Linked DNA regions of Coturnix japonica. Each later gene encodes a partner of the first gene's protein in a complex. Links are inferred from orthologs where the notes say so. Each region holds a gene or a part of one and is shown in the gene's direction. Other genes may lie near its edges.

The links.
Region 2: the proteins of CRHR2 (region 1) and UCN are in contact, whole or in part, in a cryo-EM structure (PDB 7TS0), measured with the Homo sapiens proteins. The link is inferred for Coturnix japonica from reciprocal best matches to the Homo sapiens genes CRHR2 and UCN. Residues at the interface, in NP_001874.2 of Homo sapiens: Phe68, Asn69, Gly70, Val71, Tyr73, Ile101, Leu102, Asp103, Asp104, Arg107, Asp110, Tyr113, Leu117, Asn120, Trp166, Leu169, Gln170, Val172, Asp173, His174, His177, Glu178, Thr188, Phe191, Asn192, Phe199, Phe256, Gly257, Lys258, Asp265; in NP_003344.1 of Homo sapiens: Asn84, Pro85, Ser86, Leu87, Ser88, Ile89, Asp90, Leu91, Thr92, Phe93, His94, Leu95, Leu96, Arg97, Thr98, Leu99, Leu100, Leu102, Arg104, Thr105, Ser107, Gln108, Arg111, Ala112, Asn115, Phe119.
Region 3: the proteins of CRHR2 (region 1) and GNA11 are in contact, whole or in part, in a cryo-EM structure (PDB 7TRY), measured with the Homo sapiens proteins. The link is inferred for Coturnix japonica from reciprocal best matches to the Homo sapiens genes CRHR2 and GNA11. Residues at the interface, in NP_001874.2 of Homo sapiens: Arg148, Tyr208, Leu209, Ala212, Ile213, Thr216, Glu220, Lys293, Lys307, Ala311, Phe358, Tyr359, Phe362, Asn363; in NP_002058.2 of Homo sapiens: Arg37, Ile348, Leu349, Asn352, Leu353, Glu355, Tyr356, Asn357, Leu358.

The regions. Positions count from the first base shown.
Region 1 is NC_029517.1:3,701,713-3,705,929, forward strand, and holds the start of CRHR2 (corticotropin-releasing factor receptor 2), read left to right. Parts: upstream 1-1,412; 5' UTR 1,413-1,445; coding exon 1,446-1,511; intron 1,512-4,217. UniProt on the Homo sapiens protein: G-protein coupled receptor for CRH (corticotropin-releasing factor), UCN (urocortin), UCN2 and UCN3. Has high affinity for UCN.
Region 2 is NC_029518.1:95,414,811-95,417,441, forward strand, and holds UCN (urocortin), read left to right. Parts: upstream 1-1,143; 5' UTR 1,144-1,483; intron 1,484-1,612; 5' UTR 1,613-1,628; coding exon 1,629-1,931; 3' UTR 1,932-2,120; downstream 2,121-2,631. Other genes in the region: protein Mpv17, read left to right, coding at 211-243, 471-851. UniProt on the Homo sapiens protein: Acts in vitro to stimulate the secretion of adrenocorticotropic hormone (ACTH). Binds with high affinity to CRF receptor types 1, 2-alpha, and 2-beta. Plays a role in the establishment of normal hearing thresholds.
Region 3 is NC_029543.1:653,112-657,376, forward strand, and holds the start of GNA11 (guanine nucleotide-binding protein subunit alpha-11), read left to right. Parts: upstream 1-1,454; 5' UTR 1,455-1,579; coding exon 1,580-1,715; intron 1,716-4,265. UniProt on the Homo sapiens protein: Guanine nucleotide-binding proteins (G proteins) function as transducers downstream of G protein-coupled receptors (GPCRs) in numerous signaling cascades.

The DNA.
Region 1 (4,217 bases):
CCTTCCTTCCTTCCTTCCTTCCTTCCTTCCTTCCTTCCTTCCTTCCTTCCTTCCTTCTTCCTTCCTTCCTTCCTTCCTTCCTTCCCTTCCTTCCTTCCTTCCTTCCTCTTTTCTTCCTTCCTTCTCCTTCCTTCCTTCCTTCCTTACTTTTCCTTCCTTCCTTCCTTCCTTCTTCTTCCTTCCTTCCTTCCTCCTTCCTTCCTTCCTTCCTTCCTCACTCTTCTTTTCATTCTTTCTCTTTTTTTCTTTCTTTCTTTCCTTTCTTTCTTTCTTTATTACATTCATCTTTGCTTTCTTTTTCCTTTCTTTTTCTTTCTTTCTTGTGTTCTTTCTTTCTTTCTTTTTCTTTCTTTCTTTTTTTCTTTCTTTTCTTTCTTTCTTTCTTCTTTTCTCTTCTTTCTTTCTTTCTTTCTTTCTTTCTTTCTTTCTTTCTTTCTTTCTTTCTTTCTTTCTTTCTTTCTTTCTTTCTTTCCCCCACCTCTCAGGTCCACTAGTCCATAGAGTCTATCTGTCTCCTTGCTGTGATGTTCATACTGTATGAAGCTCAACCTCTGCATGGGTTCAGGTACTTCAGCCTCCTTGTAGGTGTGTTCTGGAGAGGGGCTGAGAAGCTGTTTGCTTTATGTCTTTTGTGATCAATTGACAAAAGGCAAAAACAATTCAACTCCCCAAAGAAAGATGCCTGGGCAATTCTCACCCCAAGTTAAGCCTTGCTGTAAGTTCATGCAAACCTTGGGAATTTGTTGTGCAAAAGGGACTCTTTCCTCTTTTCTTCTTTGCTACCTTTATGAGGTTGGATATTAGGGAGAAGTTTTTCACCCAGAGGGTGGTGATGCACTGGAACAGGTGCCCAAGGAGGTGTGGATGGCCCATCCCTTGCAGCATTCAAGGCCAGGCTGGATGTGGCTCTGGGCAGCCTGGGCTGCTGGTTGGTGACCCTGCACATAGCAGGGGGTTGGAACTGGATGATCATCGTGGTGCTTTTCAATCGAGGCCATTCTATGGCTCTATGATTCTAAGATTGGAAATGTTCTGATCCAACTGCTGACCTAACAGCACCATGCCTGTGTTCAGGATCCTTCAGGTCATTACAAGACTCGGGGTGCCTCCCTTTGTCCGCACTACAGAGCCATACAGAGCCCCGCTCTATTGCTGGTAGCTTTGGGGTCGCGCTCCCCGGGGGCTTCGTCCTCCTCCATCCCCGCAGCGCCTCGGGCGGAGGGCGGGCTCGGCTCCCCCTCCAGGCTCCCTCCCTCCCTCCCTCCCTGCGGGGCTTTGCCCTGGGACGCGCCGGCGGCACCGGGTCCGACAGCGGGGCGGCGGTGAGGGGCAGCATCGGGGGGGGGTTGGTGGGAGGGAGGGGGGTTAGAGATGCCAGCAGAGGGGCAGAGCTGCTGAGAGGGCAGCGCCAGCCCCCCGCAGCCCCCCGCAGCCCCTCCGGCCCCATGGCTGGACGGGCGCCGCAGCGCAGCCTCCCGGCGGCGGCCACAGCCGCGCTCCTTCTCCTGCCCGTAAGTGCACCGGCTGGGGAGGGAGGAGTGGGGAAGAGAGGGGTGGGAGGGTGAGCGGGAGGCTCCCCACGCCCCGCCAGGAGCCCACTGGGTCCGGGAGGGAGCACGGAGTGCGTCCCAGCCGTGCGGCTCCTTCCCGTCCCCTCGGCGCTGCGGGACGGTCCCGCACAGACCCCGCACAGACCCCGGCCTCAGCTCCACGATATCCCCGTGGCTGCTGATCCGTGGGTCCCTTCAGAGCCCCCGTGCTGTGCCGTGACTCTCCTTGTATTCCCATTAGCAATGAAGGAGTGCCCTGCCGCAGCCCCGTGCCCTGCTTGCTCTCCTCTCAACACGTGGCTCCGTTTCCATCGCTTTCTCAAGCCCTTCCCATCTGCCCAAGCATTTGTAACAACTTTAGAGCATCAGGGAGATCTTTCCTTCCGATCCTTCTCCATCACCATCATGATGAGGCAGCAAATAGGGTCGGCCGGGCAGGCTGTGTGTGTGTATGAGGTGTGCAGGAGGTGCATTAATCCTCCTAATTCACGGTGGCAGCTCCCACAACAGTATAAAAGCTTTCTGGACTGCTCTCATCATCCTCACTGTGCTTTCCATCAGTCCACAGCAGCACTTCAGTTCCCACATAGAGAGGACTCCTTGCTATGAGCTTATCAGTAGCACCCAGGTGCCCGCTGCTGCCAGACTCATTCTTTGACAGTGAATAAAACCCACCATGTGTTTCCCCTGTAGATCTAATCTATGGACGTGGCCTTTCTTTTTTTCCCCCCTTCAGTTTCCTGCAGCTTTGCATTGGAATTGTTTGTGTGAATTTGGGTGGCTGGCTTCTTTAGTTGCCCTGCAAGAAAGGAGTCACATACAATGCCAAGAGGGGTTTGTTTGGAGATGAATGCTCACTTGGGGTATACTCTGAGTATATATATGATATATATATATGATATATGTGGGTGCCCTGTCCATGGTGTTCAAGGTCAGGTTGGATGGGGACCTGGGCTGATGAAGAAGGACAGGGTAGAGCAAGGACCATCAGATCCACACTTCTTGAGTTACACTCACATAGGTTGTTACCTCTGCTTGTACATTAAGATTGCCAGGACAGCCATTCAGTCTTCAGGCCGAATGCCCAAGCACGGCTCGTGCCCATACTACTCAACTCCTTCAGCCTCTAAAACAGTGCACAAACTGCATGTTGAGCTCTGTCCACAGAGCAGCCTCACTCCCAGGTCATTCCCGGCAACTGTTTGAGATACTGCTAGATTGCTTGGGGCAAAAATGTAGCCAGGAACCATTCTAAACATTTAACAGTGTAAATGATTAAGTGCTTAAAACAGACCTTTGCGCTGTTTGATTTATTGGCTCCCATGGAGCGTGCTTTACTTCCATTGCTCAGAGCTCTGAGCGCCCAAGGGAGGCATTTTCCTCTAAGCAAACTCTTCACTGCTTTGAGCTCAGCTTTCTTTTTGCTGGAGATGACTGCAGGATCCTGCTGGTAGAGATTCACAATGAAGGCACCGGGACAGTGGGCAATACCTGTGTATAAAGGAGCAGTGTCTCTGTGTTCCCTTTGATTTGTGTGTTGCTCATCATGCTGTTGAAAAAGACATTAAAATAACACATCGCTGTTAGAAAAATGTACATATATAGTTGTGGAGTTTGGAAAAATGGATCTGCTGGGGGAGGTGCTACTTTGCTTCACTGTAAACCTTATATCCAGTAAACGACACTTCAGTAATTCACATTTCCCTCTCCTTCCATGAAGGAGAGGGAAACATTTCTCCTTTCCTTTCCTTTCTGTGCTGTAAACAGCTTTCTTTTGTCCCGTACCACTTCTGAACTCAGGTGTCAGCTGTTCCCATGTGAAGTGCAGGCATGAATTCTCAGATGTGAAGCCGGAGCTCTGCGGTGGCCCCATGGCACCTCCTTGCCCCCTCTCCAGTTATGCAGTGCTATGTGCCAAGGCCTTGCAGAAGCATCCTCTTTGCCTCCTCATCTTTCTATTCCTAATAGCCAGCCTTGACAACTAAACGCTCGCTGCTGCTTGGCTTTATCAACCTGTTTCTTTGTATGGAATTACTTGTTTTTCCCTCACAGCTAATCCTTTTCTTTATATCTGAATAGCTTTGAAAATAGCTATATTTGGTTTGAGCTGGCAAGGGTTCGGCACAGAGCTTTATGTCTTTTACCTTTATTTCTTTCTCTGAAGAGTTTGGTAAGCTTTGCTATAGCCCTTATTACAAAGGAAGACAAGTAGGAACTAGTTATTTAACACTGAGAGTCAGCCTGCAAGTGCAGCTTCACATCAATGGCTGCTTGAATTTCATTGAGCACATCCCAGTGTAGGAGAATTGCACTCCTTGTTGCAGTGCAGTGGGCTGCAATGGTCTCTGGCTTACAGCATGTCCTGCTTTTGGAAGCACTGACCAGTTCCTGATGTAGGATCATTTAGATCAGCACTCGCAGGCCTGCTTGCCTGCAGCATCCCAACAAAGGCCATTTGGGAAGGGCTGTGTAGTGACAGCAGCATTGCTTGGCAGAGACAGGCTGTGACATCCTGTCCTGACCTCCTGTTCATGAGTAGCTCATAGCTGGGTAAGGCTGGGGACGTGCTGCCCATGCACACCTTGTTCTGACAAGGCTCATGCCAGCAGCTCTATTGTGGATCTAAATGGGTGGAGAACTTGGAAGCCGTGTTTCTTTGGGAACAAG
Region 2 (2,631 bases), on another chromosome or scaffold:
TCACGCTGCTGCCCTTTATGGGCACATTCCCATGCAGGGGAAGGGGGACCTGCCCTGTGCCCAGCTTGGGGAGACTGCAGTCCCTGCCTGCTGCGTGCGGGGTCACAGCTGTCCCTGCACTGTTCCTCTGCCCCCAACTGGGCCAGGCTGTGTGTGGGGTGGGGTGGTTGCAGGGCTGCTCCCTGCGCTCACGGCCTCTACCTTCCCCAGGACTACATGGACGCGCTGCTCACCAACTACTGTGTAAGTGCTGAGGATGGAATCCTGGGTTGGATTCCCTGATCCCGTGGCACAGAGCTGCCTGCGGCCCCTCATATCGCTCCTCCCCTCTGCCCAGATTTGGCCGCCGGTGCAGATCGCCAACTTCTACTTCATCCCTCTGGCCCACAGGTAGCAGCACAACCCCATGGCCCCACAGCTCCCGCTGCCCATGGCTGTGTCTGCTGAGCCATCCTTCGCTCTGTTCCCAGGCTGGCTGTCGTGCAGTGTGTTGCCATTGTCTGGAACTGCTACCTGTCCTGGAAAGCAAACCGGCTGTGAGGGGCAGCTGTGCTCCAGGTGCCCCCACCCACCAGCTCTGGAGCCTCAGTCGGGGACTGTGTGTGGGGCTGGAGTGCCGTGCTGTCCATCACGGGGATGCTATGGCAGCGATGACCCCGTGGGGCTGTGGGACCGCTCTGTCTGTTCTCTGTGCCCTGCCCAGCACAGGAGATGCTCCGTCCTTCCCCAGCCTCACTGCTGGCTCACACCCCACGTGTGACAGTGCCCTCCAGTACCTCCACTGGGACTCGGGTCGGGCCCTTCAGGAGCACCCAATAAAAGCTCCGCTCCGCTGCCCCTGTAACGCGTGAATTATCGCCCCCCCGTCACCCTGGGCCTTTTGGGGCCGGGGATTCAGCCCTCGGCCCGTCGTTTCCCATCGTCGCCGGGCGCGGTGCCGCGGTGCCGTATCCCCGAGCCGCATGGCACCGCGCTCGTCTCTATGAGTCACGCCTTTGGCCACCGCCGCTTCCTCGGGGCCGTCTGCAGCGCTTGGCCGCGGCGTGCTGGACCGGCGCGGTGCCATGGGGGGTGCACCGGGGGGGAGGAGGAGGACGGGGGGTGACGTCGCGTGGGTGCGGGGTTCCGGCACCCCAGCTCCGACGGGGAACGCGGCCCCGACGGCGCAGAGCCCCGCACCGCCCCTTCAGCACCACGGACAGCGGCACCGGGATCGGGGTGCGGTGTAAGAGCTGTGCGGGGTGCGGGACGAGAACGGGCACCGGAGAGATGCGGGTCCCGAGGGGCCGCTCCCGGTCCCGGTGCGCTCCGAATCCGCCGTCCCCCGTAGCCCCGCACCCCCCGCCCCCGCCCTGTGCGTCCCCGCCGCTGACGTCAGCCCCGCTCCGGGCCCCATATAAAGTCCCGAGCGCGGCTCCGGCTCAGCCCCGCGGGGACGGACGGAGCTCCGCGCAGCGCACGGCGCCCAGAGCTCGGAGCAGCGGTACGGGCGGTGCGGAGCGGTGCGGGACGGGGCAGTGCCGGGCGGTGCGGGACGGGACGGGACGGGGAGCGTTCGGCTTCGGGGAAGCCCCGTCGGGTGCGGACCCCGCGCTGACCCGCAGCCCCGCAGGTGCGGACGAGCCGAGATGCGGCGGGCGCTGCTCACCGTTCTGCTGCTGCTGTGCCGCCCGTTCCCCGCCGCCCCCCGTCCCGCCCGCCCCGACGGCCTCGACGGCCCCGGCTCGGGAGTCCCCGCGGCGGAAGTGCGGACCGAAGCGCTGTGGCCGCCGCTGCCCGCAGAGCCGTGGAGGGCGCGGAGGGACGAGCCGCCGCTCTCCATCGACCTCACGTTCCATCTCCTGCGGCACCTCCTGCTGCTCGCCCGCGCCCAGAGCCAGCGCGCCCGCGCCGACAACAACCGCCGCATCCTCGACGCCGTGGGACGCTGAGCCCCGCGCCGGGACCGCTCCGACGGGTGCGCGGCTGCCGGACCCCCCCCGGGACGGCTCCGCTCCGATTTTGTAATAAAACACTGCAGAAAAGCCGTAGTGCGGACCTGAGTGTGGGGAACCGTCTCCATCTCCGCTGCGTCCCCACCTTGCCATACTTGCAGCCCATGGTAAGACCCTCCCCGAGCACCCCCCGTTCCAGGCTGAGCATCCCCGGTTGTGCCCCCATCCCCACCCCGCAGCCGTCACTGCCCCCCGTCCCCTTCTGCTGCTGAAGGCCCAACGGCTTTGGGTACGGCACTCGGGCTGCACACTGAGCTGGGGGCTGTGGGGCACAGAGACACCCAGTCCCCATCCTCGTGCATCAGCAGTGACGTGGGGTGACTGACGTGGGGTGACTGACGTGGGGTGACTGACGTGGGGTGACTGACGTGGGGGGCTGACGCAGCGCGGTGCAGCAGTGGGGTGGGGGCACAGGCCGTGACCCACCGGTAATTGAGGCTCTGTGTGCTCAGCCCAGCGCTGTTTGCTCGGTGCACCCAAGGGACGGTGCTGCCAGACGGAGCTGCGGGGGTGGCAGACGTGGGTGCTCCCCCCAGACATGGGGCTGCAGGCAGAGCACAAAGCCCTGGTACAAGGGAACCCCGCAAGCACCTCATCCCCACACACCACACCTCACAGTGTCCACTCGCTCAGTTTA
Region 3 (4,265 bases), on another chromosome or scaffold:
AACTTAAGGAGCCACAGAAAAGCACGAGGATCCCACACCCTGCTGGAAAACAGAGGCAGGGCTGAGCAGATGGGCAGGAATGTCCCTGCTCGGGCAGGCAGCTCTGGTCAGAAGCCAGCAGCGGAGGATGGAGAGCAGCAGGAACGGCCTGGAAGGAGGTGACGTGCTGTGGGTGTGATGGGATGGCAGGCAGAGAAAGGCAAGGAAAGGAACATGAAGTCTACAGGCACAGTGTGATGTGTGTGGGGCAGGGAAATGAAGGCTGGGGTTAGGGACGTGCACATCATTGACCAAGAGGAGGGAAATCCCAGATCTTGTGCTTTGTGGGTGAGTCCCTCAGCACTGAGACCAGAAGGGAGGAGACCAGCAGCCTGTCGTCCCTTAGGAGCTGTGTTTTTGGTGCTTTACATTGATGGTCCAAGCAGGATCCATCAGAACAGGTGTAAGAACACACAGAGTGTGGATGGACGTTTTGTTCCTATTTACTTATTTCTTTATCTATCGAGGAAACTTCTGCAGCGTTTGGCCCTTAAAGCTTTGAGTTGTTTGTGCCCAAGGAAGGTGAGCAAAGCAGCACCCTGTGCTCAAAGCTCCCGGAGGGAACTGCAGCACCTGCCAACAGCCAGCCAGCCCTGCAGCCTGAGGGCACACAGAGCGCCATGGCCTACACGGGACAGAACCGGGCACCATGGCCTACACGGAACCGAACCGCCATGGCCTACACGGAACCAAACCGGGAACCATGGCCTACATGGAACCAAACTGCCATGGCCTACAGTGGGACTGAACCGGGCCGCCATGGCCTACATGGGACCGAACCAAACCGCCATGGCCTACACGGGACCGAACCGGGCCGTCATGGCCTACAGCGCACCGGGCCGAACCGCCATGGCCTACAACGGACCGAACCGGGCCGTCATGGCCTAGAGTGTGACAGAACCGAACCGCCATGGCCTACACGGGACCGAACCGGGCTGCTATGGCCTACACGGGACCGAACCGAACCGCCATGGCCTACAACGGGCCGGGCCGGGCCTGGCAGCCGGAAGCGCCGCCCCGTGTCCGCCCGGTGCTCCGCCGTCCCACAATGCCCCGCGGCGCCGCCCCGCCCTGGTCTCGCCCCGCCCCCTGCCGGGCCAACCAAACCTGCTCCCCGGTCAGCACGGAGCCCCGCCCACTCGCTGGTGAAGCCCCGCCCTCCATCTCGCCGCGCTCTCCCATTGGCCGCGGGAGCCGTCAGTCACCGCTTGTTTTCGGCGGCAGTGGGTTGGGTTGCGCCGCTGCTGCTGCTCGGCGGGGCCGTGCGGGGCGGGCGGGGAGCGGCGGGCGGCGCGGCCGGGCGGGGGCAGCGCGCTCAGGGACGGCGGCCGCGCTGCTGCTGCTGGGCCCGGCCGCGGGGTCGGGTCGGGGCCAGGCCGGGCCGGGCCGGGCGGACAACGGGGAGGGGAACGGAAGGGAAGGGATAAAGGAAGGGAAAGGAAGGGGCGGCGGGGCCGGGCCGGGCCGGGGGGTCCCGGCCGTGAGGAGCGAGCGGTGATCGGCGCCGGGAGGACGGCGGCGTCCTGGAGGCGTTGGGACCATGACTCTGGAGTCCATGATGGCGTGTTGCCTGAGCGACGAGGTGAAGGAGTCGAAACGCATCAACGCCGAGATCGAGAAACAGCTGCGGAGGGACAAGAGGGACGCGAGGAGGGAGCTGAAACTGCTGCTGCTGGGTGAGGGGGGAACCGAGCGGAACGGGGATAATGGGGGTAAATGGGCGTGAGAGGGGGAAATGGGGATGGATGGGGGATAAGGGATGGGGGATGGGATGGGAGGATACAGGGCGATAGGGAATGGGGGATAAGGAATAGGGGAGAGGGGTGAGGGATAGGGAGGGAATAGGGATAAGGGATGGGGGATGTGAAGAGAGGATGGGGGAATAAGGAATAGGGAATAGGGCAGAGGGGATGAGGAATAGAAGGTATGGAATGGGGGATGGATGGAGGTTAAGGGATAGGGGATGGGGATGGGAGGATACAGGGCGATAGGGAATGGGGGAGAGGGGTGAGGGATAGGGAATGAGGGAATAGGAAATAGAGGATGGGGATAAGGGATGGGGGATGTGAAGAGGGGATAGGGAATGGAGAATAAAGAATAGGGAATAGGGCAGAGGGGATGAGGAATAGAAGGTATGGAATGGGGGATGGATGGGGGTTAAGGGATAGAGGATGGGGATGGGAGAGAGATACAGGGTTGGGAATGGGAGATAGGGAATAAGGGAGAGGGGTAAGGGAGAGGGAGTGAGGGAATAGGAAATAGGGGATAGGGATAAGGGATGGGGGATACAATGTGGGGATAGGGAATGGGGAATAAAGAATAGGGAATAGGGCAGAGGGGATGAGGAATAGAATATAGGGAATGGAGGAATGGGGAGTAAGAGATAAGGAACAGGGGATGGGTGGTAGAGGATAAGGAATAGGGGACAGGGAATGGGGGTTAGGGGATAGGGAATGGTGTTCTGTGGATGTTCATATCCCATCTGGATGCCCGGCTGTGCAACCTATTGTGGAGTATCTGCTTTAGTAGGGGTTGGGATCAATGATCTCATGAGGTCTATTCCAACCCCTGTGATTCTGGGGATGGGGAATAGGGGATGGGATGGGGAATAGGGGATGGGATGGGGATTAGGGGATAGGATGGGGAATAGGGGATGGGATGGGGAATAGGGGATGGGATAGGGATAAGGAATGGAGGATGGCATAGAGATAGGGGATATGGGATGGGATAAGGATTGGGGGATAGGGCCACTGCTGCACATGTGTGAAAAATGGGCTGTGGGGATGTGTGGGGCCACGGGGGGCTGCCCTGGGGGGGGGGTGGGAGGTGCCCTGTGGTGCTGACAGTAAACCCACGGGGATACAGAGCGGTGTGAGAGCAGGAAATGGCGTGTGCTGGGGATGGAGCCGTGCAGCACGTTGTCTGCTCGGGTTTGGGCGAGGTCTGGAGGTGAGCGACTGCAGGAGCATCTGAGCAGCTCTCGGCCGTTCCTCCGGGGCAGGGAGCAGTGCTGGCATCCCGGGAGCCACGAAGGAAGCTCTGCTGGTGGTTCTATATGGGCACCGTTCCCACGTGTGTGTCTGTGTTGTGCTGCTGGAACGCTGCCGTGCTTCCAACGGGGGGTAGGAAACAGGAAAGTGAATCTGATGGTTGGAATCATTCACTCCGGGTCTGCATGGAGGCACAGGTGAAGGATGAGGTGCATGAGCAGGCACAGAGCTTTGCATTGGTTCGGTGAAGCCCCATCCTGGGGGTGCCAGCGGTGTCATTGCACGGCGGTTGCTGTTGGGTGGGTGTTGCTTTGGGTGCTAATGGGGGCTCTGGAGGCTCGGGGTCAGTTTCTGATGGTGGAGGACAGCACGGAGCTGTGACGCTTCCTTCACGCGGTCCCAAAGAAGCAGTTGTTTCAAAATAGGTTGGAGCTATAGGCTGATCTGGGTTAAGATGATCCCACTGGATCTAAAGATCGCACTTAGAAAAGAAATGGAAGATGCTCAAGAAACCTTTATATATATATATACACACACATATATCTGTATTTTTCCCTGAAGCATCGTTTGCAAACAAACCAAGCAACCAGAACCTCCCCAGATTGATAAGGGAATGTTGCTCCCCCAGTAACAACAGGCCTTAGAGCATGGTTGGGGGGTGAAGCCCTTCATGCTGTTTGCTTTCAGTGGGTGCAGCTCTGCACATCACCCACTTTATGCTGTTGCCTTCCATCTCCATTAAGGAGATCTGCTTGTGTGTGTTCCTGCTGTCTCGGGCTGAGGTGGAGCTCTTCCCTGCATTGATATCAGAGGGCTTTTCCCAGCTCCCATCAACCTGAGCAGGGTGTGGATGTGGAAGGAGTTTCCCATTGCTGAAGCAGTGGTGGCTTTGCTTCTCAATGGCAGCTGTTGGGTCAGGAGCAGTGAGGGGTAACGCTGCTGTCCGGCAGTTAACCCAGTAATGAGAGGCTCTAATTTGAAGATATTAGATGTTGCCCTTTGCTCATCATTGGCCTTTTTAACAGGGATGGCAACAGGGGGGCGAGAACGCTGCATACAAAATCCCCCTGCAATGGCTCATCATTGAGCACTGGTCTAACATCGGGGTTACTGGGGTTGGATTTACATGTGCCCATTGGGGGGTGCTGGTGCTGGGGGGGAGCTGTGCTGCTCCCACGTGTTGGCAGGATTGCACTGAGTTCAGCCCCTCGCTTTGTGCTTTGCCATCCCAAAGGG